7 linked regions of the Oryctolagus cuniculus genome follow. The protein of the gene in region 6 interacts with the protein of the main gene of each other region in a pairwise test. Links are inferred from orthologs where the notes say so. Each region holds a gene or a part of one and is shown on either strand. Other genes may lie near its edges. The genes, in order: EFEMP2, ZGPAT, MAGED1, KHDRBS3, BLK, CCDC33 and NCK2.

Region 1 (4,217 bases), on a different chromosome or scaffold from region 6:
GGACGGGACGTGGGGGCACCCTGGCCGCCGCTGGGGGAGCCCGCGCAGGGCTGAGCTCACCGCTGCAGGAGAAGCCGTCGCGGTGCAGCTCGTAGCCCTGGTGGCAGCGACACAGGAAGGTCCCGTAGGAGTTGAAGCAGCGCTGCTCACACGGGGCGCCCATGTCGCACTCGTTCACATCTGGGGGTGCCGGGACAAAAGCAGAGGGGCAGTCTGGGCTGGCCGCCAAGGGCGCTCCCCCAGCTCATACCTCCCAGCCCCGGGGGCCCCAGGAGCCCGGCCTGGCCCAGCCTCACCCACACAGGAGCGGTTGTTGGGCCCCAGCTGGAAGCCCGGTTCGCACTGGCAGCGGAAAGAGCCGGGCAGGTTCACACAGCGGTGCTGGCAGTAGCGGTAGCGGCACTCGTCAACGTCTGCGACGGCGGCGGGGAGGGAGGCCGCGGAAGGCGCCAGTCAGTGGGGCCCCCACTCGAGGCCTCACTGCCCACAGACCCGGATGTCTCTGGGCAGCTGGACGGGGCCAGCCAGCCAGAGGACGCACGCACGCACAGGCACACACACACACACACATGCGCATGCGCACACACACGGTGTCCATGCAGTCCTCTGTGTCTGATGGCAGGAAGGCAGAGGGGGCCGGGGGCTGGGGTGACGCCCGGGGGTGGGCTGGAGTTGGGGGCTCAGGAACAGACAGGCTGCTGGCCGCACTCACCCACACACTCCGGCCCGATCTTGCGGTAGCCATCCGGGCAGGTGCACTCGTACGAGCCAGGCAGGTTGTGGCAGTCCTGGCTGGGCCGACAGTCGTGCAAGGCCTGCGCACACTCGTCCACATCTGCAGCAGACACCCCTGAGCCTCCGCCTGGGGTCGCTCACGCCATCCGGCGAGGCAGGCACCCAGCGTGGGAGGACGCAGTCCAGAAGCCACCACGAGGGCACAGGAGACCCCTCCCACCCGCCCACCAGCCTGGGAGGCAGCAGGAGACAAGGCTCTGTCCACACCCTCAGCCCCCAGCGACCCTGATCCCAGGACACCCCCCGCCAGGGCCCGCGGCTTCCAGGGGTGCAGTCCAGATCAAGGCTCCTGCAGGGTCTCTGCAGCACGTGAGGGGAGGGTCCCCTGGGACTGGCCCCGGACACAGCGAGGGCCTGGATGAGGGGCCGGGCAGCCCCTGGTGGCCCCCAGGAGCCATCAGTAAGGGCTTGGAGCAACGCAAGAACGCGAGCCCAAGTTGCGAGAAGCGTGGCGACAGCATGGGACGCCCGGGCCCAGAGGGACTCACCCACGCAGCTCTCCTGTTCGTCGGGCTCATAGCCTGGCGGGCAGGAGTTGGGGTGCTGAGCGGGGGGCACAGGCGGCGGGGGGCCCTCGCCGTGCAGGTCGTTGATGACGGAAGCGGAGCGCGGCAGACACAGGTAGCCCCCGTAGTGATTGATGCACTTCATCTCGCCCTTGCAGGCCTCGGGGATGGTCAGGCACTCATTCACATCTGCGGGAGGCGGCCTGCTCGGCACAGCCGGTCCCGGGAGGGGGGCCGGCCCCGGGCGGGGCGGGGGGGGCGAGGCAGGAGCCCGCTTGGCCCTCCCTGAGCTCCACAAGCTGAGGCAGCCTGGTGTACCCAGGACCCCTCCCCTCCACACGGCCCCGCCACAGGCTGGAAGTGGGGAAGGGGTTGCCACTGCTGCCCCCACGCTGCCTCCAAGGGGGTCCTGGCCCTGGCTCAGCCGGGCAGTGATCTGCAGCCCCCCCCCCCCCCGTGGACACCGCCCTCCCAGGTTGCGATGGGGCAAAGCCTTCCATGGGACCAGCTGCTCCGGGGCTCCCCCAGTGGCTCTCCCATCTACCCCGGGGGGGGGGGACAGGGTTACCGGGGTTCTTGGAGAGGGAGGGGCCGCCCTGCCCTGCTGGGCTGGGTAGAGCACAGGCCCCCTGGGCTCTGGTCCCTGCTCCTGGGGGGCTGGTCCCCCTGTCACACTCACCCCGGCAGTGCTGGCTGTCTGGGTCCCACTCATAGCCATCGGTGCATTCCTGGAAGGAAACCGGAGGCTGCAGTGGTCACCCAGGGTCCCCTCCAACTGGCCAGGCCAATAGCAGGGCCTGAGCCTGGGCCACCCTCCCAGTCTGTTCCAAACAACGGCCCCCAGCTGCTCTACCGGCCGGGCTGGGGGGGCGAATCTCCCCCAAGAACAGCCTCCGGGGACCCTGGTCTCCCAGTGGTAGGCCACCCGCCCCCGCTGTCCCCACCGTGTAGCTGTCCGGTTCCTCGGAGTCCTGCGGTGACGCTGCCCCCAAGAGCAGCAGCAGCAGCGCCCAGAGCAGCAGAGACCCAGGGAGGCAGGAGGCGAAGGGGAGCATCCTGCGGCCGGGAGGGGGCGGGCGGGTCAGGGGCCTCTGCCACGGCCGCCCCATCCCCCCGCACCGGGCCCCGGCCCCGCCAGCTCCGGCTCAGGTCCGAGCCTGGGGCCCTGCAGCCCCGCAGGACCCGGGGCCCACTCGTTTCGTAGGCCCGGGTTCCGGGCCCACTCCGCCCCCGCCCGGTTCCCTGGCGGTGCGGGCCTCTCGGCCCGGCGGCCGCCGACTCTGCCGAGACTCCGGCCCGCGCCCCCCTCCCACGGGCCGCCACTCACTCGGCCGCGACGCCCCCGCGGCTCCGGCGGCTCCAACAGTGCCTGCGGGCGGACGGACGGGCGGACGGCGCAGCTCCCTGGACGCGCGGCCCCAGGAAGCGCCCCCCGCCCGCCCGCCCGCCGCGGTGCGGCCCACCCCGGCGCCTCCGCCCGCCCTTCGGCGGATTCCTGAGCCCGCGCCAGGGGGAGGGACCCCGACCCCCCGCTTCTCCGCCCCCGGCCGGCGGCCGCAGGCCCCCGCCCGGTCCCCCGCGGCGCCTCCCGGAGCCGCCTCCCGGCGCCGGGCCAGGGTCCCCCAGCGCTCGATCGTGGTGCCATGGACCTGGATGCCAAGCCCCCAGACTCACTCGGGGGGGGGGGCAGGCCCTCATCAGAAACGTCATCCCGCGCACCTGGCTGCTACCTACGCGCGCAGAATTCCTTTCTGCGCACCCACTGCTCAGTCCCGCACCCCCAGACCCTCATTCTGAGCCTCCCCGAAGGTAGGATCCGAGGCCCCACCCAGCCCTGGGGCCTCCATCCCCTCACTCGACCCCCCCAGAATTGTATTCTGTGCCCCCAGACCGTCACTCCAGACGTCCCCAAAACTTCACCCCGGGCCCCCGACCCTCGCCCCGGCACGAGACGCTCCCGGGTCCCGGGAGCAGAGCTGCCCATCTCTCCCTTCTACCCCCCCCCCCGCCCCGCCATCTCCCGCCAGGTGGTCCCTGCGCTCCTGCACGGCCTCCCCCGCCCCCGCGCTCAGCCCTCCAAGCCGAGGTCGGGGGCGGGGGCGCAGGTCCCTTTTGGCCCCAAATGAATGGCAGGCCCCCGCGAAGCAGGGACAGGGTGCACTCGGGGGCCAGGGACGCCAGGCTCCGGTGCCAACGCCTTCGCGACCCTCCTCTCGCCCGCGCCCCCCACTCGGCTTCCGACCCCTCCCCCAGCGGAGGGCGTGGCCGGGGCGGAGCCCGGGAGGGTTCGACTCCCAGGAAGGGGCGGGGCTTCGCGCTGCCCACGTCTCAGGGCTGGGCCAGACGGGAAAGGGCCGCGTGTGCAGGGCTCCCGGCACCCCGCAGGCTGCGAGAGGGAACAGTCGGGTCTTCCCGTCCCTTCCCCATCCCTGCTTGACCCCCCGATCGCCCCCAACTGACCCGGTGGGGCTCAGGCTGATGCATTCCTACCACCTGCCCAGGGGCTGGGGCAAGAAAGCCCGAAGTCCGAATTCTTGAAAACCAAGCGTTCACGAGTGTTGGCGAGGGTGCGGAGAACTCGCAGCCCTCCTAGGCTGCAGCTGCTAACATCATCCGGCTGTGTCCCCAGATGTTACCAGGCAGGTTCGCTCCCAGGTATGCGCCCGGGAGACTAGACGGGCGACAGGTACACACCCGCCCCGGGAGACCGGACGGGCGAAAGGTACACACCCGCCCCTCCCCAGAGACTGGACGGGCGACAGCTACTCACCGAAAGTCTGCTCATAGCAGCACCGCGCTGCGGGCTTCAGAGCGCTGGAATGTAGCAGCAACCCCACCAGGGTCAGTCAACCAGTGGGTAGCACACCCCCACGTGGAGGGTTGTCCAGGCGTGAGCAGGAACCCAGCCCGACACAG
Region 2 (4,049 bases), on a different chromosome or scaffold from region 6:
TGGCCCTGGACCGAACTCCTTAAACCCTCAGATGAGCCGCACCCTCTCCTCACTGCGCACCTGGACGCCTGCCCGCTGCCCCGGGGGAACGCTCCACCACCACTTCTGGGGCCACTCCGGGAAGGGGCTGAGTGAGACAAGAGGTGGCGCAACTCGGGAACCGACAGGAGCAGGGACAGCAGGGACCACGGGCAGGGCGGGCAGCGCGGTGTGGGCGGGCAGCGCGGTGTGGGCGGGGCAGCATGGCATGGGCGGGGCAGTGCCTTGTGGGTGGAGCAGCGCAGCATGGGCGGGGCAGTGCCTTGTGGGTGGAGCAGCGCAGCATGGGTGTGGGCGGGGCAGCATGGCATGGGCGGGGCAGTGCCTTGTGGGTGGAGCAGCGCAGCATGGGCGGGGCAGCGCGGTGTGGGTGTGGGCGGGGCAGCATGGCATGGGCGGGGCAGCGCGGTGTGGGCGGGGCAGCATGGCATGGGCGGGGCAGCGCAGGGCCGTCTTACCTTGTCCCATAAGGACTGCAGCTCCTCCTGGCCGCCCAGGTCCCAGAACATGAGGCGAGCTTTCCCCACGTCCACGGTGCCGACTGGACAGAGAACAGGAAAGGCTCGTGACCTTGCCCCTGGACACACACGTGCCAGAGCTCCTGGGGGACCAACAACCCACTGGCGCTGCTGGGAAGTCAGCGGCTGAGGGCAGGGCAGGCCCTGGGGTCACCATCGGTCAGGGCGGGGTCTGGGGTCACCATCGGTCAGGGCGGGGTCTGGGGGTCACCATCAGTCGGGGCAGGCCCTGGGGGTCAGCAGAGGAGGGCAGGGCAGGGTCTGGGGTCACCATCGGTCAGGGCGGCCCCGGGGTCAGCAGCAGTCAGGCCGGGCTGCGGTGGCCAGCTGCTGGGCCGTGGCCGTCACAGCAGGCTCAGGGCTCCACCCGCGCCAGAGGCCCCGCCTTACTGTTGAGGCCCACGGTGGTGGTGATCTTGCTCAGGCTCATCCCCTTGTAGTTCTTGCTAAACCGGGTCTTCGACTGCTCCAGGAAGGTCTGGGGAGACAGGGCAGGCGGCGTCGGGGGCCAGTGCAGGCAGGGCCGCGAGCCGCTGCCGCTCAGGGGGCGGGGCCTGGCCCCAGCCCAGCGCTCCGGGCCGCGGCCGGGCACCTACCGTCTTGCCGGCATTGTCCAGCCCCAGGATCAGGATGCAGTACTCGTCTTTCTGGAACATGTACTTGTACAGGCCGGACAGCAGCGTGTACATCCTGCCCTGGACACCGAGACACGTCACGGCCGTCGGGCCCGCGCCCCGCCCCGCCAGGCTCGAGGCGGGCCCGGGGGCGGCTCCCGCACGGGCCTCGGCTCCCGCCGCCCCGCGTCCCGGCCGCACGGCCCCCGGGCCCGCAGCCTACCTGCGCCCGCCAGACGCGCGGAGCAGCCGAGCGCCGGGCCCCGCCGACCCCGCGCCGACCCCGCGCGGCGCCTGACGGGACGCGTCCCGGCGGCCCCCGCGCGCCCGGCACTTCCGGCGCGGAGCGGAAGTGCCGGCGGCAGCGGCGGCGAGGGCGGAAGGGGCGCCGGGCGGCTGTGGTGGGGGCCCGGGGGCCGCGCGGAGGAGGCCGGCCCGGGCGGACGCGGCGGAGGGCGCCCCCGGCGCCGCGCGGCCCGCGGCATGGACGAGGCGGCCCTGCAGACGTACCGCGCGCAGCTGCAGCAGGTGGAGCGCGCCCTGGGCGCCGGCCGGGACTCGCCCGAGGAGGCCGACCTGCGCCAGCTGCAGCGGGACCTGCGGGAGCTCATCGAGCTCACCGAGGCCGGCCTGGCGTCCGACGGGCCCGGCGCCCCGCCTGAGCCCCCGGCCCCGGCCGCCGCTGCGGGCCCCGCGCCCGCGCCCGCGCCCGCCGAGGAGCTGAGCGGGACCAAGGTGAACGCCCCCTTCTACAGCGCCTGGGGCTCGGCCGAGTACCACAACGCCATGGTGGTGGGCACGGAGGAGGCGCGCGGCGGCGCGGCGCGCGTGCGCGTGCTCTGCCTGTGCCCCACGCGCGCGGCGCTCAAGCCCTGCCCGTTCTTCCTGGAGGGCAGGTGCCGCTTCACGGAGCGCTGCAGGTGAGGCGCGGGAACCCCCGGGCGCGTCTGCGGGAGGCCGGAGCCGGTGCGGCCCAGCCGCCGGCTCCGCGGGAAGACGTGGAGCGTACCTTCCTGCGGGGGTCCCCCCGCGTGCGCAGAGCAGGGGCGGCGCCGTGACCTCCCCCGCTGCCCTGGCTCTGCCAGTCTCGCGCCCCTGCGTTCCCTTCCCGACTTTGTAAAAGTATTCGTTCACTTGAACGACTTGGAGGTCATCCATCCGCTGGTCACTCCCCAGATGGCCGCAGCGGCCAGGGCTGGAGAAGGGGGCGGGGCGGCCACGACGCGGGGCCCAGCCTTGCCGGCACGTCTCCCGCGTCTCCCCTCCTTGCTTCCTCCCTGGAGTCTTGCTGTAGCGTGCAGGCGGGGCGGCTGGGCTCTCCTGCCCGGGGTCTCGGGGCTCCGTCCCCGCCGCTCCGCTGGAGGGGGCAGCAGGCGCCGGGCGCTGCTGGCCGAGGCGGCCCGGCCGTTCTGAAGACTTGCAGAGCGGGTTACATACACCTGCCCCAGCACGGCTAGGGTTGCAAAGTTGTTTTCCTGGACTTTTAAGACAACAGAAACAAAACGGGCTGGGCTCCCGCTGCGTGGGTCCCCTGCAGTCTGCCCCCTCTGCCGTTGGTGCGCCTGCTCTTGCTGGAGGCGTCCCCGCGTGTGTCGCGTGGGCGGTGTGTTCAGCCCTGTGGATGCTGCCTCTCTGTTCTGTCCCCGCCTCCAGGGAGAGCTTTGCCCGGCCGAGCCCTGGCGGCAGTGACCTTGCCTGACCGGGAGCTGCGGGGGCCCGGGTTGGACTCTGTTTCCCCTGTGTCTGGCGAGGACGGCCAAAAAACTGTCTCAGACCCCCTCCCTCGACGGAACTGGGCGCTGTGCCGGGCTGTGAGGTCAGACGCTGTGTGACCAGATGGACTCCCTGACCAGCTGGCCGGGAAATAGCCGCCCCTCCAGCAGTGGCCGCTGGCCGGGCTCCCCAGGCTCGCCCGCGCCCTGGCTCAGCACTCCTTGTCTTTTTTAGATCGATTTATTTGAAAGACAAAGTGACGAAGATCTTCCATCCGCTGACTCACTCCCCACAAGGCCACACCAAATTCAAAAAATTTATTTATTTATTTGAAAGGCAGAGTGACAGAGGGAGAGACAGAGATCTCCCACCCACTGGTTCACTCCTCAGGGGGCCTCCACAGGCAGGCTGGACCAAGCCAGAGCCAGGACTGGGCTGTGCTGGACCAGGCTGGAGCCAGGACTGGAGCCGGGGTGCCCCAGCACTTGACCATCGTCTGCTTCCTTCCGAGGCGCGTGACCAGGGAGCTGGAGTGGAAGCCACACTGCAGTAGGGCGCCAGCGCCACAGGCGGCAGCTTCACCCTCGGCCACAGCACCAGCCCCCGCTTGGTGTTGCCGTAGCTCCCGGCCCGGCCAGCCCCTGCTGTCTCTGATCGGCCGTGTCTCCACACGTCACAGTGGGATCTGCCTGTCACCCCGCCTTTTTCTGTGGCTTACTTCACTTAGCCCTGGTTTCAGGGCCCATTACCGTGTGGCGTGCATCAGAGCTCCATTCCAGCCCACGCACGGGCGTTCGACTGGAGTGGGGGGCTGTTGGGACCCCACGTCCCCCTGCAGTGCCGCCTGCAGCTCCTGCTACTGTGGGCCTTGGGAGGCAGCAGGGAGGGCTCCGGCCGTTGGGTCCCCAGATGGAGTTCCTGGCCCTGGCCTGGCCTCGTCCTGGCCGTCGTGGGCATCTGGGAGATGAACCAGTAAAGTCTGTCCTCTCGAATAAATACATTTTTAGAAAGAATCGTTCACGGGGGAGCTGGATGGGAAGTGGAGCAGCCGGGACTCGGACTGGCGCCCCCGTGGGACGCTGGCCCTGCAGGCGGTGGCTTTACCCGCTGCGCCACGGCGCCGGCCCTGGTTCTGACGGTTTTGATGGCTCTGTCTTCTCAGAGT
Region 3 (3,988 bases), on a different chromosome or scaffold from region 6:
GATTTCTGCTTGTTTAAATCTTTATTAAAAATGGGTAGAGTCATATTTCATGGCTCCTAATATTTATCAATTAGCATGTAATTCAAGTACATGATACTCCTATCTATGACAGGAAGTTTCCAAAAACTGGAGTTTCTGCACACAGATTATGTCTTATAAAACAATAAAATAGTCTGTATATTTTTCTATTTCTCATTAACAGAGAGATAGAGAGAACCTGACCAGGACTAAGTGTTTGATGGACTTTAAATGCATGAAATATAGCAGTTTAGCAAGTTATTCCAGACCTCTGGGTCTTGGTTTTATCATCAGCAAAATGACAACAATGACTAATGACCTTAGAGAGTAATTGTGAACATTAGTGGAGAAACTATATTTAAAAGTTTGTCTCTTACTGACAAGCACTGGATTAATTTCAAATTACCACACCAAACATTTATGGGCAAAATATTATGAACACACAGTGGTAATAGCAGTCAAAAAGATAGGTAAATATTACTATAGAATAGCACACAATGCACCAGGAATAAACAAACTGGGGGTGAGGTGGGGCTAGAGATATAGATACAGCCTCCTTCCTAAAGGGACTGTTAAGTGGCAATTCATCTCAATGGTAGCAAGAAGCTAGCCAGGTGGCAGAGAATACAGGGAATTGCGATGGATTGAGTTATCTGAGTTGGTAGTGTTGAATTAAAGTTATGCAGCAAAGTGGCCACTAGAGGACCACAGGGATGGCAAAAGAGATGTAGGAAGCAGAGTGAATGACAAATGAGAGATCATAGCATGAAAGTATTTTTTTCCAATAATAATCTGCATAATTTGCATCCTCATTTCCTTCAGGTCTGTACTGAACTGCCACTCTACCAGAGAGAGCTCCCTGACCATCTTATCTAAAACAGTACAGCTCGCCCCCATCACAATTTATTTTATAGAAGTGGTGCCTTGAAAAAGTTCCTGGAAAAGGAAATTAAAAGATAATGCCTATTTCTGTGAACTTTTTGAAGATCTCTGCATTCATTTATTGCCTCTCAGCTATAACATCTACTTTTGTTTTGTACTGTTGTATTCCCAGTTCTGAGAACACTGTCTGACATATAAGCTATTCAGCACACACACACACACACAAAATCAAATGGGTGGGTGCACAGTGGGTTGAAAACAGTGTGAAAGACATATAAATGTTGCATAATAATATGAGTAAAGAGACATTTGCTAATACCGTTTTAAAAAGTTCCTGAGTGTTCTGCTGTCATGAAATCCACCTCATTTGTTTATTCTATCTAAATGAACTGAAATTCTGCCCTAGAAAAGGGAGTCATCGCTCATTCTGTCAAACACAACACATGAGTTACAGGAGGAGGAAGAAGTTAACTGCTTATTCAAGGGGAACTGTGGTTAAATTCTTCATAAAGCCTGACAAAAACCTTGTCCTTACCACAAATTTAATGATCATATGGGTAAAGAAAAGCGAATAAATTCAGTTGATATTCTTCCAAGATAAATTTTGCATAACACATGGAACAGAAAAATACACCTCACATTTCAAGACACGAAAAGACAAAGTTCCCATTGCAACAGGCAGACTATATAAAAATCGTAAAGTGAGCCTAGGAAACCATCTTTAAAAAAAATCTGCCAGCTTTACTGTTCAATGTTGCCCCTAGAGACCAGAAAAGGATTTGTATAATAAAGTTAACTCCTGAAGTAATAAATTGAGGATTGGACCTCAAGCCTGTCAATCACTTCTCCTCTAAGAATGGTTTTACAGGAGATGGGAAAGCTTCCATCTCTAAAGCTGACACCAACGTATACGCAAAACCCATTATGTTTGCTCCTCCAAAACTCTGGGAGTTCTGTCTGCCAACATTTAAAAAAAAACTACAATCAATCAGTCAATCAATACAAACACTTAGAGGGTTGAAACCAGTGCAATAATAACTAAATGGCGCATAATTTTGTTGAGAGAAATAAATAAATAGACAGACATAATTTGAACAAGTCCCGATGCCTTCTTCAGGCTCTACAATTTCTGCTTCTTTGCTTTTCTTTTTTTTTTTTTTTTAAGAACAAGAAAAGCAAACTCAACGTTTAAGACATACTTGCTTTTGGAAAATGTATAACGCAATGGCCTCTGCAGGGGAGAGACAGTAAAAGACCGAAAGCCAGCAAAGGGAGTAAAATACGAGTCTTCAAAAAGTTCGTGGAAAATGCGTATTATGGGGGGAAAGAAACCTACGAATCAAATTTGTGTACCAAAATAACTGCATCTTTTAATTTCATATTCCTGGAACTTTCTTAAGTTCCCTTCATTCTGGGATGGAAAGAGAAGGAAGGAAGAATGTCCGCTGAGAGAATAGGAAGGGGCTCGCCAAGGGTCTGGGGCTAAAAGGGCGCGGGGCGGAAGTTGCGGATTAGTGGAAGAGAGAGATTTGTGGGACAGGGAACAACCAGAAATACCGGAGAAAAGGATCCGGGATAAAGAGGGGATGTGAAGCATGACCAGAAGTCGGGAGGATAAAAGAACCACGAATGTCAGAAGCAAGGGTGGGGGCAGGGGGCGGGTGCCGGCCTCCCTTCCCCTGAGGAGGAGGAGAGGAGATGGTGAAGCGATCAGAACCACAGGCGTCAGAAGCATCCTTCACACGCTGTACTCTGAGAATGAATACACCTTGTTTCCACCTCATGCTGAGGCCAGAAGCAACGTTTCCCCGAAGGGAGCAGGATTTATTTGTGAGAATTATCAGTCCCCTTCTTTACACTCACCTTGACGAAGAAGGCAGCGACGATGGCGTGACCGGAAGTGCTTTCCTCTTTTGTTTGGCGGAAGCTTTGGCTTCTGCCGCTGCCACCCCCATTCCCTTCCCTCCAGGCAACTTCCTGTGCCTCTCTAGCAAGCGCTGGGATGCTTTATCTCATTAGCTCCCAGATGAGAAGTTGGATAATGATATAAAGGGCCCAGGACAGGGAATCAGTAAATTTCTGCAAATTCTGACTCTAATCATTTCAGAAACTACAGTATCTCTACCAAATCCCACTTGTTCAGTTCGTCGTGTTGTCTTAGAAATAGACTCCTTTACCTTACTCCTTTAATTCAGACTTCATTATCAATGTCTTGGATGTATACAGTTACATATTTAACCATACTGATTTACTATTTTCTGGGGCAGCAATTTGGAAAATTGGAAAATTTAGAAAATTTATTTTTATCAGCTTTTTAAAAAATAATAAGTATTTGGGGCCGGTACTGTGGCATAGCAGGTTAAAAACCCTGGCCGAAAGCACCGGCATCCCATATGGGCACCAGTTCGAGTCCCGGTTGCTCCACTTCTGATACAACTCTCTGCTGTGGCCTGGGAAAGCAGTAGAAGATGGCCCAAGTCCTTGGGCTCCTGCACCCGCATGGGAGACCCGGAGGAAACTCCTGGCTTCTGGCTTCAGATGGGCTCAGCTCTGACCGTTGCGGCCATTTGGGGAGTGAACCAGCGGAGGGAAGACCTCTTTCTCTCTCTCTGCCTCTGCCTCTGCCTCTCTCTGTAACTCTCTTTCAAATAAATAAAATAAAAATTTTTTTGAATAATATGTATTTGTTTTCATCTGAAAGGGAGTGAAAGTTCTTTCATTCTTAGATGCCCACAGCAATCCATCCCAGCTATACTAGGTGAAAGTCAGGATCCAAAGGAATTCCATCCAAATCTCAGGGATCCAAGTACTTGAGCCATCACATGCTGCCTCACAAGCTGTGTACCAATAGAAAATTGGATCAGAAGCAGAGGTGCGACTTGAACCCAGACCTTCCATTCAGGATGCCAGTGTCCCAAGGAGTGTCCACACCTCCCAGCCACAACTTCTGCCCCTTATTAGCTTTTGTAAAAAATATGATTACTGAATTTTGTCACAGAGTGGTATCCAGAGAATTAGCATATTCAAATTTCTAAATAAAAGTGGACTCATTCAGAAAGCACTCTATTATGTCTATCCTCGTAGGAAT
Region 4 (3,500 bases), on a different chromosome or scaffold from region 6:
ATTTACCATGCTGCACTAAGTAATCTGTTGATGTTTCTTTTCCCCTAAACTATATATTCCTCGATGTTAGGTATTAATTTTTCCTGTTTGTGTGGTCAACACCACGCACAGGGCTTGACTGCAGAAGGCAATGATGTGTTTATGTTGGACATCAATCAGTTTTGGACGTGTTTTCAGTCTCACATAAAAGTGTACAACTTGGAGTTCAAAAATATGAATAACAGATTGTGCTGCTGCAAATGTTTCAGCCATGTAAATTTCGTAGCAGTATTTAATCTCTCCAAACTCCACCCTCTCATATAAGAAAAAGGAATAATGTCAAATAATTTACAGGGATGCTGTAACGTCTACTACAAATAAAGATCTATGCAAATTACAATTATTGTCAAGGCCTAAAGCAAAATAAGTATTTTAAAGGTCAAGTGAGCTATGAATAAATATAGGACTAACAGGGATGAGGAACTTTTTGATTTCTTCCAAAGCATGTCCCATGCGGGCATAAGCTTCCGCTGGTGGGGCAAACACTTCAATGAGCACATGGAGATCATCATTGAGGTGGAAGTACTTTGCTTCTCCACTTTTCCTCAACTCTTCTTCCTGGAGAAAGAAAAAAATCATATTTAAAAATCTGACATTATGAAAGAAGACAGACAACAAAAACTACCCAAAGCTTATCTGTTTACTGAACAGCATATATTACCCTGAGGAAGAAGTAAATGGTAAATCGGATCTTTCCACTGTAGGTATTTACAAATACTCCAAAGGCTTCCCATTGATACTAGGATAAAGTCTCCACTCAGGACACTGCCCATAAGGATCACGGACTCAATATTGCCTGCTCCTTCACCTCTTCCTGACTCCCTTCCTTAAACCTCTCCAGTTGTTGATGGTTTAATAGACCACAGAAGTATCATGATTATTATGCTGTATATGTAGCTGATGCACGTCATGATTCCACTAATTTCATCAATGTAGCAACTAGAAGAAAGTGAACTGAGTTCACATTAAATAGTAAACACACCGAGAACCTAAGAATGAGATCTCTTTAGAATGAGATTTTAATAGTAAGTAATGGCTAAACATAAACATATTAACTGAGAATTTGTGAAAACAATCAACAGAAGTTAATACTTTAGAGTTCATGTAATGAAGATATGATGACAATACAGTCATCGGTAATATCTACCTAAGTAGCAAAGTTGTTACTTCAATCATCAGCTGTGGTCAACTTCAGTGAGAGGCTTCCAGTGGTAGAGGCAACAGCACAGTTCCGGGGACAAGAAGACAACACAACTAGTGGACTGGAGTGAAATGGGCTGTTTCTTATGGTAATCAAGAGTTTAAAGAATGAAATGACAGACTCATGGTTTTAAGTTATCAGTTCAAGGCACAAAGAGCCTGAAGTATCCTAGAAGCTTCTACTGTAGTAAACACAGGCTGATGGAACCAAAAGACAGATGCAGAGTTAAAATGTGTGTACTGCTGAATATCCAAACTCTCTCTTATTTGAGTTGTAGAGTAATGTCTAGCTAACAAAGAAACCAGAGGACTGTACTGGTAATATTTGGGATGATTCAAATAACTCTGATCATCCAAAAGTGGAAACCCGATGGAGTCTTCCACACTGGCAGAAGCCTGTACCATATGGTGATGCTTTTCCTATGTTGCTTGAACAGCAGAGACAATTCTTTGAAAGGAGAAGACACCTTCATACTTTCTAACTCCTCTTCCTTATGTCAGACATCTGTTTGTTTCAGGGATACAAAGAATAAGAGAAGCAAACTGAATCTAGGGAAGAAGGCAGCATGCATACCTAACCTGTAACATTTACCACTGTATGACACTACCTCCGAGTCTCCTCAAGAAACATATGGCACCTTTTATGAGAGTGACTTTCAATGAGGCTAAACACCTATACAGAGAGTTACAGGTTGAATATCCCTTATCCAAAATCTTGTGAACAGAAATATTTTGAATTTCAGAATTTTTCACATTTTAGTATATCTCTTTATACATAATGACCTATCTTGGTGATGGGACCCAACTTGGAATAGAAATTCATGCATGTTTCATATATACCTTATACATACAGTCTAAAGGCTTTAATGTTTTCAGTGTGCCTGTGTTGTGACTGAGACCCACCCCATAAGGCCAAGTACAGAACATTGCATTTCTGGCATTGAATCAGGGCTCAGAAAGTTTCAAATTTTAAGATGGTGGGCATTGTGGCTCAGGAGGTAAAGCTACTCCTTCAGATACTGACTCCAATATGGGAATGCCAGTTTAGTTATTCCCCTTCTAATCCAGCTTTCTGCTAATGTGCCTGGGAGGCAATAGATGATAGAAGAGCCAGATGTAATTCTGGGTTCCTGACTTAGTCTTACCTAGCCCAGGCTGGTGCGAGAATTTTGGGAGTGTACTATCTGATGGAAGATCCTTTCCTTTTTCTATCAAATAAATAAATAAGTAAATACACAATATATCTTTGAAAAAATTCCATTTTAGAAGCACTTTCAGATTTCCAGATTAAGGATATTTAACCTGTAAAAGAATTAACTCTGACCTAATGCCAATCCATGGAGGGCCACCAATCAGAGTGTGGCTTATGGGGTAAAAAGATATTGGTCCTCATCCACTGATAGTGAGTTCATCAGATTATAAATTCACACTGAATGCTATTCGTCCTGTTCCTGGGTGGCTTGATGGAACATATATCATCAGCTACTTACAAAATCTCCACAGTGATTTACTGTACCAAATGGGAAGAAAACATAGAAATGAAAGGATTACTGAGTTAGTGATAACTGGTTCAGAAAGAGGCCCAAGTGTGTAAAACCAGGGTGACCCAAGCAAATGTGGAGTAGGTCCTCAATGATCAGGTAGAAACCCATTGTTGCTAGTGTTAGGGTATCTCACTCCCCAGCCAGTTCAGTGCTACTCAAGGCGCTCATAAACAAAATGATCATGGAAAGAAGGACAGAAGCTACATGATACTGCACAACACAGAATCCCCTACAAAAGATGTCTAGCTACTAATTCTGCTGAGTGCCTGGTATGCCAACAACAGAAAACAACCACAAGCCCTTGATATGACAATACAACTTGGAAGGACCACGGAGCCCTTTTATGGATAGCCGAGCATCTGTTATCACCTGGACATATAACTTAGATAGATCTGCCTGCCTCGCTTCCTTTCCACTTGAGAATTGCTCATGAATGCCCTGATCACCAGTACTCTACGCCACAAAACAGTCTTCTGACCAAGGAACTCCCTGAATAACAAACAAAATAAGTAAGTAAATGGGTTCCTATCCTTGGGTTTCACTGCTCACATCATGAAGTCTACTACCATATGGCCTTAAAATTAAAACTGGATTAAGATAGCAGCAAAAGTGGAATAATTCCATGCAAGATACACACTTCTAATCAACTGACTTATATATGCTTCCATTTTCTTCTGCAATATTAAATGAGTAAAGGAATCAAGTGCCATCATTTGA
Region 5 (4,141 bases), on a different chromosome or scaffold from region 6:
CCCACTGGGCCACGGGCGCAGATGAGTGTTATGTTTTTAAGCTTTTAAAATTGGGATATTTTTAGGTTCGTAGGAAAAATGTCACAAAGGCAGTACAGAGAATTCTCACGCAGGCGCCAGTCAGCTTCCCCCCAGGCTCACCTGTGTCCGTGGTGCCTGAACTAAGGGGTGAACTCTGGTACTTTAACATTAATGTCCCTCTGGGCTTCCTGTGGGCGTCAGCTGGCGTCCACTGTCGGTGTTGTTCTGGATCTAGGGAGTGCGTTCTGGATTCAGTTGTCACACCTCCCAGCCTCTTCCGATCTGTGGCAGTTGCTGTGTCTTCCCTTGCTTTTGGTGATCTTGACGGTTTTGAAGGTGAAACGTTTGCAGAACAGCCCTTAGTGTGAATTTGTCTGTCTTCTCATGATAAGACTGGGGCCGTGTGGCGTGGGGGAAGAATCGTCTGAGTGCAGAAGCTCACAGTAAGGGCATAGCTTGGTGCTGTTTACCGAGCTCTGCAGGTTTCTCCAATGGAGAGTTACCATTTCCCCTTTCCTAGTTCTAAGTCCAAGCCGCAGTCAGAATGAGCGCCACCCCCTGGGGGTAGGAGGGTCTACATATAACAGAGAGCTCTTGGTAGCACAGAACAGTTCTTTTGAGTTCCATGGTAATGTGGATGGAGGAGGGTGAGATCAATGGCCCATTACCGAATGGATGAGAAAGTTGCCAAAGTCCTAGCATTTTAACAAAATCCCCACAAACTGTGTTATCAACTGCTCTTTCCTGTTAACAGTTGGTCTTTTTTTTTTTCCAGGTTTCAAATGTGTCTTTTATTCACTATTTCTGATGCCTATAAATAAGTGTTTCCACTATGAAAAAGGAAGTTATTAGCACAGTACATGTTCATGACTGGGGAATGGACTGCTCCAGTCGGCTTCGAGAGGGCCAAAAACTGAAAAAATAAAACCACCTGAATGTTGAATTCAGTTGTTTTTGTTTTGTTTTTTGCAAGGGACTTTATATAATTACAACAAACCGAAAAAGAGGTGCAGGGCTTTAAAACACACACACACACAAAAACGAAAGAGGCAGAGGCAGAGGGACGGGACGGGACAGGACGGCAGGGCAGGGCAGGGCAGGGCAGGGCAGGGCAGGGCAGGGCGAGGCGCTCAGTGCTGCTCCCCGGCGGCCTCCGGGGCCTGCTCCGCGGGCTCCTCGCACTCCCCCTGCACGGACAGAGACTGGAGCTTCTCGGCCACCTTCTCGGCGCTGTCGTTTGTGCCGGTTCCTTTCTTTTCTCGCTCTCCAATCTCTTCCCTGCATTCTTCGAACTTTGTTTTGAATTTCTGCGCATTCTCAGCATTGAGGAAACGGATGGCCAGCAGCTCCAGCTTGGGGCACTCGTCGGCGAAATCGGCGTGGGTGTTCCAGACCCAGGCGCGGTCGCTGCCTGCGTTCGGCTTCTACTCCATCGTTGGCGTGATGTAGCGGTTGGCGCAGATCTTCAGGGTCTTGTCTCTCCTCCTGAGCAGGCGGATAGCCCCCTTCTCCATGTGCTTCAGGAGCTTCAAGTCGCCCGTGCCGCGCTCCTTCCACCCCGGGAGGTCGTTCTCCGAGGTGAATCAGAAGAGCTTGGCCCGCATTTTAAAAAGTTCCTCCTCATCTTCCTCCAGCGTCTTGATTTCTTGCTCGGGAAGAGAGACTATTGGCTCAAACTGGGGGTCGTGGTTGGACTCGTCCGCGTTCTCCGTGGAGGTGTCGTGGTCCTCGTGACTGTCCTTGGTGGCCGCCCTGGGGCGCGGCGGCGGCTCGGCTGGCTCCGCGGCCTCTGGGCGCTGGGTCTGAGCTCTTTCCCTCCGTGTCTGGCGCCGGCGCCTCCCGCCTTCACTCCGCCCGGCGACCCGAACCCCGACCCCTGACCCCAGCGGCTGGAAACACCAGCAGTTGGTCTTCTTGACAAAACAGATCTCTTCACCAAAAAGATCATCCTAAGCCTTTTCTCCCAACCCACCAGCACATGCCTGACAAATGGAACAGCCTCATTCAGAAACAAACAAAAACAAAGGCGGAGCCAGCCAGCATCGCCCGCCCCTGCCACCCTCTCTCAGCTCTGTACTCTCGCAAGCAGGTGGACGCACTTGCCCTCAGCTCGGCAGCCGGGCTGTGTGTGCCACCCATGTCCTTTCCTCCCCCTGCCCATAGGCACTGCCTTCCCCAGCTTAGAGACCATAAGACACAGAAACTACCCGGATCAATAAAATTTTACAAGTAAAAAAAAAAAAAAAACCACCTCTAAAGTAGAAATGAGCAAACAGCTGGGCAATCTACCCATAGCTGTGGCACAGATCATGTTAATTCCCTCTCTCTCCATCAATAACACTGGAGCAATATCCCTGCCCACTCCTCCAAATATAGGCCTTGGAGCACCGTGCAATGTACAGAAACGAGATAGCCGAGAGCCGGAAGGCACAGAGACTTACCCTGCCAACGCGTCAGTGGTTTCTCACCATTGCTGTTCAAATCGCAGTGCCTTTAAGGTGGTACAGCCTCCTGTCTCCAGCCGGAAACTCACCAGGCGATCCTAAAGAAAAAGTCCATGCCCAGATGAATTGTTCTCATCCCTGTCGGCGGCGTGGGGACCTCATGGCTTCCTGGTGGCAGCCTCCCCAGGCTGTGATCGGAGCTCAGCCGGCCGCCCCCAAGGGGCAACCTCAACAAGAGCCCCGCCCCTCCTGCCTCGCGCCCTGGAGGCTGCTGTGGGCTGGCTGCACCCTGAGGAACCCTCTGTCCCAGCAAGGACCACGAGCAGCTGCGCTTCCCCCCCGGCCCTGGGCCACACTGGTCGCAGTGCCCTCTGCCACCAGAAAGTTTTCTCATGGGGTTTTGGTTTGACAACATGGCGGAGTTTTTTTTTTTTTTTTTTTTTTTTCTCTGCACTGAGTTCACAAACCTCCAATCCGTGTATTCTATGAGGTGTTTTGCTCTGCCTCACAGACAAGGGCTTGGGCTCCACGTTGTGGCACCTGCGTGAGCCACAGCACCTGTTCTCTCAGCCTTGTTGACTTGGTTTTGTCTTTTAAATGATGCTAATAATAGCTGGCTCACAGGATGCTGTGAACATTGAATAATGGCAGATGGGGTGAGAGTGGCAGGCCCCAAATTTGGTGCTCAATAAATGTTATTTCCCCCATGATTTATTTATTTATTTAGTAATCAGCAGACCATTCTGACTCAGAGCTTCACTCGAACAATGAAAATTCAAGGGAACACTGGGAGTGGGGGGGGGGTCCCAACATAGAGAGTGGTGAGGACTGGCCTGCACTAGAGCAGTCCAGGGACCAGTGAGCCCAAGAAGGCTGCTGAAACGACCTCAAGAGACTTGCTTCATAGTCCTGCAGCCAGGGAGACCCCCTGGCCAGCTGCTCCCTATCTGTGTCCAAGGAAGCTGGTTTGGGGGATTCTTGTTCTCCCTTTAGGTCTGGAGTCCTGGAGGTGGGGTGTGGGAGTCAGGCGGGCCAGCTTCTACAAAGCAGTCCACAGTGTCTGTTTCCTCTGGAGTTTCTGTCCCTGGAAGTTAGGGATAGGATGATACTCACTGTCAGTTACAGAGAGGAGAGAGTCTCTCTAAAGAGGCTCAGAGCAGTGGCAGCCGCAGTGACACTGTGGAAACAATGGGCTTCATTTCCCCAAAGGGCTTTAGGGGGAAAACGAGAGCATTCATGCATCACACGTTTCTGTTACAGTATTTAGGGCATGGTGAACCCCAGATGGCCAAGCCCCAAATCTGAATCATAAAATGGCTTCATCTTCTTCCATACTTGGCAGCAGTGGGCTCAGAACAGCGTCCAGTGTGCCAGGTGTGGTCAGTACAAGTAGCTGTTTGTAGTTTATTATCCCATTGGCTTCCTCACATCCAGTTGTTGCGCTCAACCATTAAACACAAGTTACAAGAGTTCCAGACTCCTTCAACTTCTGCTGTAAAGGTTGATGGCTTGAGATGAGACAACTCAGTCTTACTATTTCAGTTCAGTCCCATCTGGGGGACCCAGTCCAGAAAACAGACAATGACCATGGGGCAGATGGGGGCAGCTACAGAAGCCCAGCAATGCACAGTGTTAGACAGAGGTGGGAGCAGTGACCCCGTCAGGAATGGTTGGGA
Region 6 (2,793 bases):
TGGGACCGGGATCAGGGCTCAGGGGGTGTCCAGGGTCAGGGCTCAGTGTGGGACCAGGATCAGGGCTCAGGGTGTGTCCAGGATCAGGGCTCAGTGTGGGGCCAGGGTCAGGGCTCAGTGTGGGGTCAGGGTCAGGGCTCAGTGGTGGGACCAGGATCAGGGCTCAGTGTGGGACCAGGGTCAGGGCTCAGTGTGGGACCAGGATCAGGGCTCAGTGGTGGGACCAGGATCAGGGCTCAGTGTGGGTCCAGAATCAGGGCTCAAGGGGTGTCCAGGATCAGGGCTCAGTGTGGGGCCAGGGTCAGGGCTCAGTGTGGGACCAGGGTCAGGGCTCAGTGTGGGACCAAGGTCAGGGCTCAGTGTGGGGCCAGGGTCAGGGCTCAGTGTGGGACCAAGGTCAGGGCTCAGTGTGGGGCCAGGGTCAGGGCTCAGTGTGTGTCAAGGGACAGGCTCAGTGTGGGGCCAGGGTCAGGGCTCAATGTGGGACCAGGATCAGGGCTCAGTGTGTCCAGGATCAGGGCTCAGTGTGGGGCCAGGGTCAGGGCTCAGTGTGTGTCCAGGGTCAGGGCTCAGTGTGCACCAGGGTCAGGGCTCAGTGTGGGACCAGGATCAGGGCTCAGGGGGTGTCCAGGATCAGGGCTCAGTGTGGGGCCAAGGTCAGGGCTCAGTGTGGGGCCAGGATCAGGGCTCAGTGTGGGGCCAGGGTCAGGACTCAAGGGGTGACCAGGGTCAGGACCAAGTGTGGGACCAAGGTCAGGGCTCAGTGTGGGACCAGGGTCAGGGCTGAGTGTGGGGCCAGGATCAGGGCTCAGTGTGGGGCCAGGGTCAGGGCTCAGTGTGTGTCCAGGATCAGGGCTCAGTGTGGGGCCAGGATCAGGACTCAAGGGGTGACCAGGGTCAGGACCAAGTGTGGGACCAAGGTCAGGGCTCAGTGTGGGACCAGGGTCAGGGCTGAGTGTGGGGCCAGGGTCAGGGCTCAGTGTGGGACCAGGATCAGGGCTCAGGGGGTGTCCAGGGTCAGGGCTCAGTGTGGGGCCAGGATCAGGGCTCAGTGTGGGACCAGGATCAGGGCTCAGTGTGGGACCAGGATCTAGGATCACGGTCTGACCAGGGTCGGGGCTCAGTGTGGGACCAGGATCAGGGCTCAGGGGGTGTCCAGGATCAGGGCTCAGTGTGAGACCAGGATCTAGAATCATGGTGTGACCAGGGTCGGGGCTCAGTGTGGGACCAGGATCAGGGCTCAGCACGCTGCAGGAATGCAGGGAGGTCCCTCTGCATTGTCTCACTGGGTGGCCCCCTCCCCTCCCCTGCTGCTCCTGGGGTCATGGGAAGATCAAGGCCATACTCCCCAGAGCTTTGCTTTCCCCCGGGCCTGCTTGTCCTGGCTTTCAGGGACAGGCCCTGCTGCCCACTGCCCACCAGTTGTCCCCCTCTGTGCCCGCAGTTGGAGGACTCGGCTCGGCGCTGGGGGCGGGAGAAGCAGGACTTGGCCATGCGCCTGCAGGAGCAGGAACACGGCTTTGGGCGCCCCTCAAACTCCATCATCATAGACGCCCCCGTGAGTGGCCCCTCCGTGGGAGCAGCTGCTGGGGCTGGGAGCCACCCCACCCCTTAAGTCACTGAGACAGACTGGGCGGAGCCGCTCCTGGGCTCTGGGTCCTGCTGTGTCCCCACCACCCTTGCTCTGGCCCCATTCCTGCCCCTGCTGAGCGGAGAAGACCCTTCGAGGCCGCCCTGGCCTTGCGGTGGCCAGGAGACACCTGGAGGAGGTGACCAGGAGACGCCGGGTGCTTCCTGCACCCCATGGGTAGCTTGTGGCCCCCAGCCTGGGATGGCACAGGCTCCTTCTCAGGAGACGGCACAGCCACTGTCTCCCCAAGAACCCCCACGCTCGGCCTGTCCACTCTCTGCTCACGTACGGAGGCGTGGTGGCTGGGTTGGGAGGGAGGCTCACAAAGGACTAGGGGACCGACAGGGGACGCCCCTGGGCACCGTGGGGGGCACCTGCTGGCCCCCTGGGTTTTGGATCCTGGGAGGCCTGCTGTGGCCGGCCCACCCGGGACACGGGGCGCTCACCCCCCTCGCCTTGCAGCCATGGAAAGCCTCGACCCCCGCCAAGGACCTCGAGCGTCCCTCGGATCTGGAGCCCCTGCCGCCAGGCTCGGACACGAAGCTCGGCAAGCCCGCGGACCCCCAGCAGACCTGAGCTCCAGAGCAGGCCTCCCCCGCTGTCCTGGGGGTCTCCCCGCGGCCCCAGCCCACCCTGTGACTTCATTAAACATTGGAGCACCAAGAGCGTCGGCCCGTTTCCTAGAGCGGCGTGGCCTTGGGCCAGCCTCCGCCTCCCGGGGCTAGCAGCAGGGCCGGCCAAGGAGCTATGTCTCCATCTAGCCAGGTGGGCGCACCAGGCGGGCAGGACTAGCCCACAGCGCCGGGCTCCCTGCTCCCACAGCCGGGCTCCACCTGCACCTCTGTTGGCTGCCCGGGCACAGGGAAGCTGCACCCCCACACACACGCTCTGCCTGGCCCCCAGCCCCCTGCTGGCTCCTGAGCTGCCAGCAGCAGGCAGGTCTCCACGGAGAGGGCCTCTAAGTGGGTGCCTGAGCCCCTGAGGCTTCTGTACTGGGTGACAAACACCCCAGGGGCTCCAGGGGAAGGAAGACCCTCCGTGCGGTTCGGCCGTTTATTGTCCTGATGAGGGCGAGGAAGGGGCAGAGTGGGGAAGAGGAGCGGGGTGGGGCCAGAGATGAACCGACAGCCGTGACTCCCCTCACTGGTGGGGCGGGGCCTTCC
Region 7 (4,173 bases), on a different chromosome or scaffold from region 6:
TGTGGGAGCACCTGGTTTGAGTCCCAGTTCCTCTAATTTGATTCCAGCTTAGTGCTAATGTGGACCCTGGGAAGCTACAGATGATGGCTCTGGTGTTTGGGTTGCTGCCACCCACGTGGGAGGCCTGGATAGGATCCCAGTTCCTAGCCCAGCCCTGGCTGTTGCAAGCATCCGGGGAGTGGACCAGCAGATGGAGGCTATCTCTCTGTCCCTCTGCCTTTCAAACAAAAACTAAATAATTTCTTCTTAAAGTTCAGGCGGGTGGTTAACTAAAAAAAAAAAAGGACACATCAGACTAAAACCTTGATTGCTTTGGGAATCGAGGAAGGAAGACAACAGACCTCCTATAAGGAGAAAATATGGGCGGGCCAGAAGGCAATAGGACCAAAATCAATCATCTAAGATCAATGGAAAGATGATGGAGTTTCAGGAGGTAGAAATGCCACGTGCTTCAGCAGACCCTGTAGGATTAAGGTTTAGAGAGTGGCATCAGTGAGTTTTTCAAAGAATCAGAGGAGGAAGAGGAGAACCATGACTGAGATTTTACAAAGCAAACAAGGGTCAATATTGCTCTACGTATTTGGAGTAAGCCCATTGAAATTTGGGCCGACTATGGACTAAAATTCTGCTTTCCTCACTCCTAAGATGAGACTTGCACTAAAGGATGAGCTTTGGTAGCTTCTTTCCCAGAGTCAAACAGGAGGCTGTCCTGAGTCCCAGATCTTGAACTTGATCTCTGCTCAAGGTAGTGTACCTCCTTCCACATACTGAGCTATTCAAGGGTGACCTGTCGCCAAGGCGTGTCCCTGGTACTGTTGGAGGTAGGTAGATATTATCTCCCCATTTCACAGACTTGAGAAAAGTCAAGAAATCCCTGTGTGAGGTTACACAGGTCAGAAGTCCACAGTCCAGCAGGCCACTGATGACGGAGCTCCGGGGACTCTACTTACCCATTCTTGGGTGCTTTGGGGGAGGGAGTCAATCAAAGAATGTTGCCTTGCCTCCTTGGGTGAAACATTACTGTTTTCCTGAAGATCAGAAGCCAGGAGCCAAAGAAAGCATCTCACTGACACGGATGCAGGCGATCCCACCAGGGCTTTGGAATCCTTGGAACATTAGGGTTTCCTCTGGGAAACCACGGGGAGAAGGAGTTTGGAGAAAAGACATCTGGACGCATCCGGAAGGGGAGCTCTCCGGTCTCTGCCTCTGCTCTCGGGTTTCCAGCTTCCAAGTTTGTTTACTGGGCCACACAACTCCAGGCGGGGTGAGGCTGGGTGAGCCGGTCGGGCCCACCCCTCACGGTACCCGCAGGGGCCCAGGGGCAGGCGGCTCCTGATTGGGCTCTGCTCCCGGGGCTGTGCAACCCGACTCCCGGCGGCTGGAGCGGGCTTGCGTGCCTGGGAGGCATCAGAGGTCGGAGTTCCGCTCCTCCCCTTAGGAAGCGCCTCCGCCAGGGACGAATGGACTAAAAACGTGTCTGGTTGGGAAAGTAAATAGACGCAAGCCAAATAAAAATAAAAATGCCCGCAAGCAATCACAGGGAGGAAGTGACATTTTGCTGGAAGTCACTTTTCTGATGGACCACAGGCCTGCTGCGCTGAGCGCGCCGTGGGAATGCTTCCGGGAGGGGGGGGCGCGGTCTCCTCTCCAACTCGCGCGTGGCGGTAAGAGAATTAAACAAACAACAAAAAGAGCACGCGAAGCCCACCCGGCCGGCCTCCGGGGCTGGAAGTTAATGCCTGCATTTTTACGGTCGTCCCCACCCCGCCCCCGCAAGTGCGGGCGCGGGGACCTAGCCTAGCGCTCGGCGCCCCGCAGGGCCCCGCGGCGCCCCGCAGCGCAGCGTTCTCCAGCCCCGGGCTAAGCCGGGCGCGTTCCGGGGCCGGGCCGCGGAGCTCGGCGGAGCCCGGGGGCGCCCCCAGGTGGGTGTCGGGCCCCCGCCCCGTGCGCGCGCGGGGCCTGGGCCGGCCCCTGGGCGGCGTCACGGCGCGGCCGGGGAGGAGCGCGGGCGGACGAGGAAGAGAGCGGAGGAGGCGGGCGTTGCGCGCCGGGGGAGGGTCGCCGCCGCCGCCGCCTCCGCCGCCGCCTCCGGGAGCTTCAGGCCGGAGCCGCGCGGCCGAACGGGCGGCGAGCGGCGGGGAGGCTCGCGGCGCCCAGGCCGGCGGGGTCCGCCCGGCGGCAAGACGCGGGAGCGGCGCAGACAAAGAGCGGCGCTTGGGCGGGCGCAGCGCGGCCGCCGCCGCCCCGGGACCCGCGCCGCTGCCCTCCGGCCTCGGTGGGCGGCCCGTGGCGAGGTAAGTGTGTGCGCCGCAAACTTGGGGGCCCATTCGGCGGAGTTGGAAGCGCGGCGGGGCCCGCGGGCCGGGACGCGCCCAGGGAGGGGCTGGGGGAGTGGGGCCCCTCCGCGCTCCGCCGGTGCCCTCGCCCCCGCTGCGGCCTGGGCGCCCTCCCCACCGGCTGTGGACTGCTCGGCACCTCCAGGCTCCGCACCTTCCTGCCCGCCTTCCGGGCCCCCCACCCTACCCCCAGAGGCCGGCTTGGGGGCAGGGGCGCCCTCCAAGGGCGCGCGGGCGAGGAGCTGGGCAGGGGCCGGGCGGCGGGGCCCGGGGACTGGACACCTCCGGTGCGCAGGGAGTGCCCGGCCTGCGGGACGGACGGCGGCAGGCACGGGGCCGGGGCCGGGGTCGGCGTGGGACCGAGCGGCGGCCGCGGTCGCCGGGGGAGGAATCTCCGGGTCGCAGGGACGCGGGGGGTCACGATGCACCCGGAGAACTTAACTGTGTGTTGATTGCAACTATTTCTGATCCCACACAAAGCTGCTGTCACGTCGCGTAAGGGAGGGTCGACGGCCCGGCGCTGGGCGCTTTTGTGCGGGTTTCAGGGTCTGCGCCCTGCCGCGGATTTTCAGGGCACCCTTGGAGCCAGCCACTTGTACCAAAGTTTCTCCCGGTCGCTCTGCGTTCCGGGCGATGGAACCGCCAGGGGGTCCTGGAAAAACGTCCTGTGTGACTCTGAAAGCATCCACGACGGCTGCCGCGTGGGCGCCGTGTGGGCTTCGCATTGTGTGGGATAACGCTGTACTTTGTGGACAATGCCGATCGCCTGGGACCGGCTGTGGGCGGAGGCTGGGGGGTCACTGGCTGGTGGCCAGCAGGCACCTGGCTAAGTCAGCCTCCTCAGGACAAAGCAGGGGCGGGGGTGGCAGTGCCTCCCTTATTTGGCCAACAGGTTTGAGGCTTTGTGCCAAGTTTGCATGGGCATCATGGGGTGAGTGGGCCCCAGTCGCGTCCGGAAGGGCCTACACCATTACCCAGGCCTGCTCCTTGCACTGACCCAGGGAGAGACCGAACCCAGGGGGAGGGGCTGGTGGGCGTGGCTTTCTGGGGACCCACAGGTAGGGAGTCCCTTCCTGGCCCGCCCCAGTCCTGGCAGTTCGGGAAGGGTTTTTGTGTAGCCGTGAGAACCAATCGGGGGCTGTGTTTCCTGCTGCTGTTTTTGATTAAGTTACCTACAGAGTTATTTTTTTCCCCCAAGTCTTGAAAGTGGCGGAAAATGAAATTAACCCGGGCTGCCTTAACTTATCAAACCAGATCTGAGCTGTGCCTCAGAACACGCCCTTAGTGCACTCACCACCTGTGCCCAGATAAAGGCTCCCAGCGTGTGTGTGGTTTATGTGAAGAGTGGCAGGCAGAGAGCACCGGGGCCGAGGTCCAGGAGGGGGGGTGCAGGTGCATGGATGTTCGCAGGAGGGCTTTCCTGAGGAGGGGCGGTCTCCCCGCTTGAGAAGAAGTGACCACAGGGGCAGGTCCTGCCTGAGTAGCTCTCTCCTTGACACGAGGAGAGTGGCAGGGTCTTGGTGGCCTTGTGGTGGCCACCGGAGGGTGAGATGGCAGCTTTAGGCAGTGCTGGGTTTGCTCCTCTGGGTTCAGGGAGTCTCAGCTGCTGTGTAAACACTGCCAGCGGTCCTGACAGGCGGGTGAAACTGACTTGGCAAAATTGGCTGCATTGTAATCTTCTTGGCCCAGTTGAGAGAAACTGACCCTTTGTAAATAGAGGCATGGGTGGAAGGTGCATTTCCAGTAGCTTGGTCAGTTTTCAGGCTTTGAGTAACATGCTGGGGACTTAAACCTTCATTGCAGGCTGTTGGACCCTTGTCATGTTCTCAACCTCTGC

Evidence for each region.
Region 1: the proteins of CCDC33 (region 6) and EFEMP2 interact in a two-hybrid assay, tested with the Homo sapiens proteins (2 studies listed by BioGRID). The two-hybrid records come from large-scale screens. The link is inferred for Oryctolagus cuniculus from reciprocal best matches to the Homo sapiens genes CCDC33 and EFEMP2.
Region 2: the proteins of CCDC33 (region 6) and ZGPAT interact in a two-hybrid assay, tested with the Homo sapiens proteins (2 studies listed by BioGRID). The two-hybrid records come from large-scale screens. The link is inferred for Oryctolagus cuniculus from reciprocal best matches to the Homo sapiens genes CCDC33 and ZGPAT.
Region 3: the proteins of CCDC33 (region 6) and MAGED1 interact in a two-hybrid assay, tested with the Homo sapiens proteins (2 studies listed by BioGRID and IntAct). The two-hybrid records come from large-scale screens. The link is inferred for Oryctolagus cuniculus from reciprocal best matches to the Homo sapiens genes CCDC33 and MAGED1.
Region 4: the proteins of CCDC33 (region 6) and KHDRBS3 interact in a two-hybrid assay, tested with the Homo sapiens proteins (2 studies listed by BioGRID and IntAct). The link is inferred for Oryctolagus cuniculus from reciprocal best matches to the Homo sapiens genes CCDC33 and KHDRBS3.
Region 5: the proteins of CCDC33 (region 6) and BLK interact in a two-hybrid assay, tested with the Homo sapiens proteins (3 studies listed by BioGRID and IntAct). The two-hybrid records come from large-scale screens. The link is inferred for Oryctolagus cuniculus from reciprocal best matches to the Homo sapiens genes CCDC33 and BLK.
Region 7: the proteins of CCDC33 (region 6) and NCK2 interact in a two-hybrid assay, tested with the Homo sapiens proteins (2 studies listed by BioGRID). The two-hybrid records come from large-scale screens. The link is inferred for Oryctolagus cuniculus from reciprocal best matches to the Homo sapiens genes CCDC33 and NCK2.

The regions. Positions count from the first base shown.
Region 1 is NC_091432.1:5,896,475-5,900,691, reverse strand, and holds the start of EFEMP2 (EGF-containing fibulin-like extracellular matrix protein 2), read right to left. Parts: upstream 2,801-4,217; 5' UTR 2,629-2,800; intron 2,358-2,628; 5' UTR 2,357-2,357; coding exon 2,246-2,356; intron 2,030-2,245; coding exon 1,981-2,029; intron 1,491-1,980; coding exon 1,284-1,490; intron 836-1,283; coding exon 713-835; intron 414-712; coding exon 297-413; intron 181-296; coding exon 61-180; intron 1-60. UniProt on the Homo sapiens protein: Plays a crucial role in elastic fiber formation in tissue, and in the formation of ultrastructural connections between elastic laminae and smooth muscle cells in the aorta, therefore participates in terminal differentiation and maturation of smooth muscle cell (SMC) and in the mechanical properties and wall integrity maintenance of the aorta.
Region 2 is NC_091442.1:348,523-352,571, reverse strand, and holds the start of ZGPAT (zinc finger CCCH-type with G patch domain-containing protein), read left to right. Parts: upstream 1-1,249; 5' UTR 1,250-1,654; coding exon 1,655-2,091; intron 2,092-4,049. Other genes in the region: ARFRP1 (ADP-ribosylation factor-related protein 1), read right to left, coding at 61-127, 498-580, 948-1,035, 1,154-1,246. UniProt on the Homo sapiens protein: Transcription repressor that specifically binds the 5'-GGAG[GA]A[GA]A-3' consensus sequence. Represses transcription by recruiting the chromatin multiprotein complex NuRD to target promoters.
Region 3 is NC_091453.1:36,245,873-36,249,860, reverse strand, and holds the start of MAGED1 (melanoma-associated antigen D1), read right to left. Parts: upstream 2,801-3,988; 5' UTR 2,764-2,800; intron 1-2,763. UniProt on the Homo sapiens protein: Involved in the apoptotic response after nerve growth factor (NGF) binding in neuronal cells. Inhibits cell cycle progression, and facilitates NGFR-mediated apoptosis. May act as a regulator of the function of DLX family members.
Region 4 is NC_091437.1:161,088,939-161,092,438, reverse strand, and holds part of KHDRBS3 (KH domain-containing, RNA-binding, signal transduction-associated protein 3), read right to left. Parts: intron 598-3,500; coding exon 451-597; intron 1-450. UniProt on the Homo sapiens protein: RNA-binding protein that plays a role in the regulation of alternative splicing and influences mRNA splice site selection and exon inclusion. Binds preferentially to the 5'-[AU]UAAA-3' motif in vitro.
Region 5 is NC_091433.1:43,007,553-43,011,693, forward strand, and holds the start of BLK (tyrosine-protein kinase Blk), read right to left. Parts: upstream 2,801-4,141; 5' UTR 2,463-2,800; intron 1,816-2,462; exon of another isoform or gene 1,152-1,815; intron 1,053-1,151; exon of another isoform or gene 1-1,052. UniProt on the Homo sapiens protein: Non-receptor tyrosine kinase involved in B-lymphocyte development, differentiation and signaling. B-cell receptor (BCR) signaling requires a tight regulation of several protein tyrosine kinases and phosphatases, and associated coreceptors.
Region 6 is NC_091443.1:109,313,392-109,316,184, reverse strand, and holds the end of CCDC33 (coiled-coil domain-containing protein 33), read left to right. Parts: intron 1-1,444; coding exon 1,445-1,558; intron 1,559-2,092; coding exon 2,093-2,206; 3' UTR 2,207-2,293; downstream 2,294-2,793.
Region 7 is NC_091433.1:102,853,616-102,857,788, reverse strand, and holds the start of NCK2 (cytoplasmic protein NCK2), read left to right. Parts: upstream 1-1,373; 5' UTR 1,374-1,664; intron 1,665-2,022; exon of another isoform or gene 2,023-2,294; intron 2,295-4,173. UniProt on the Homo sapiens protein: Adapter protein which associates with tyrosine-phosphorylated growth factor receptors or their cellular substrates. Maintains low levels of EIF2S1 phosphorylation by promoting its dephosphorylation by PP1.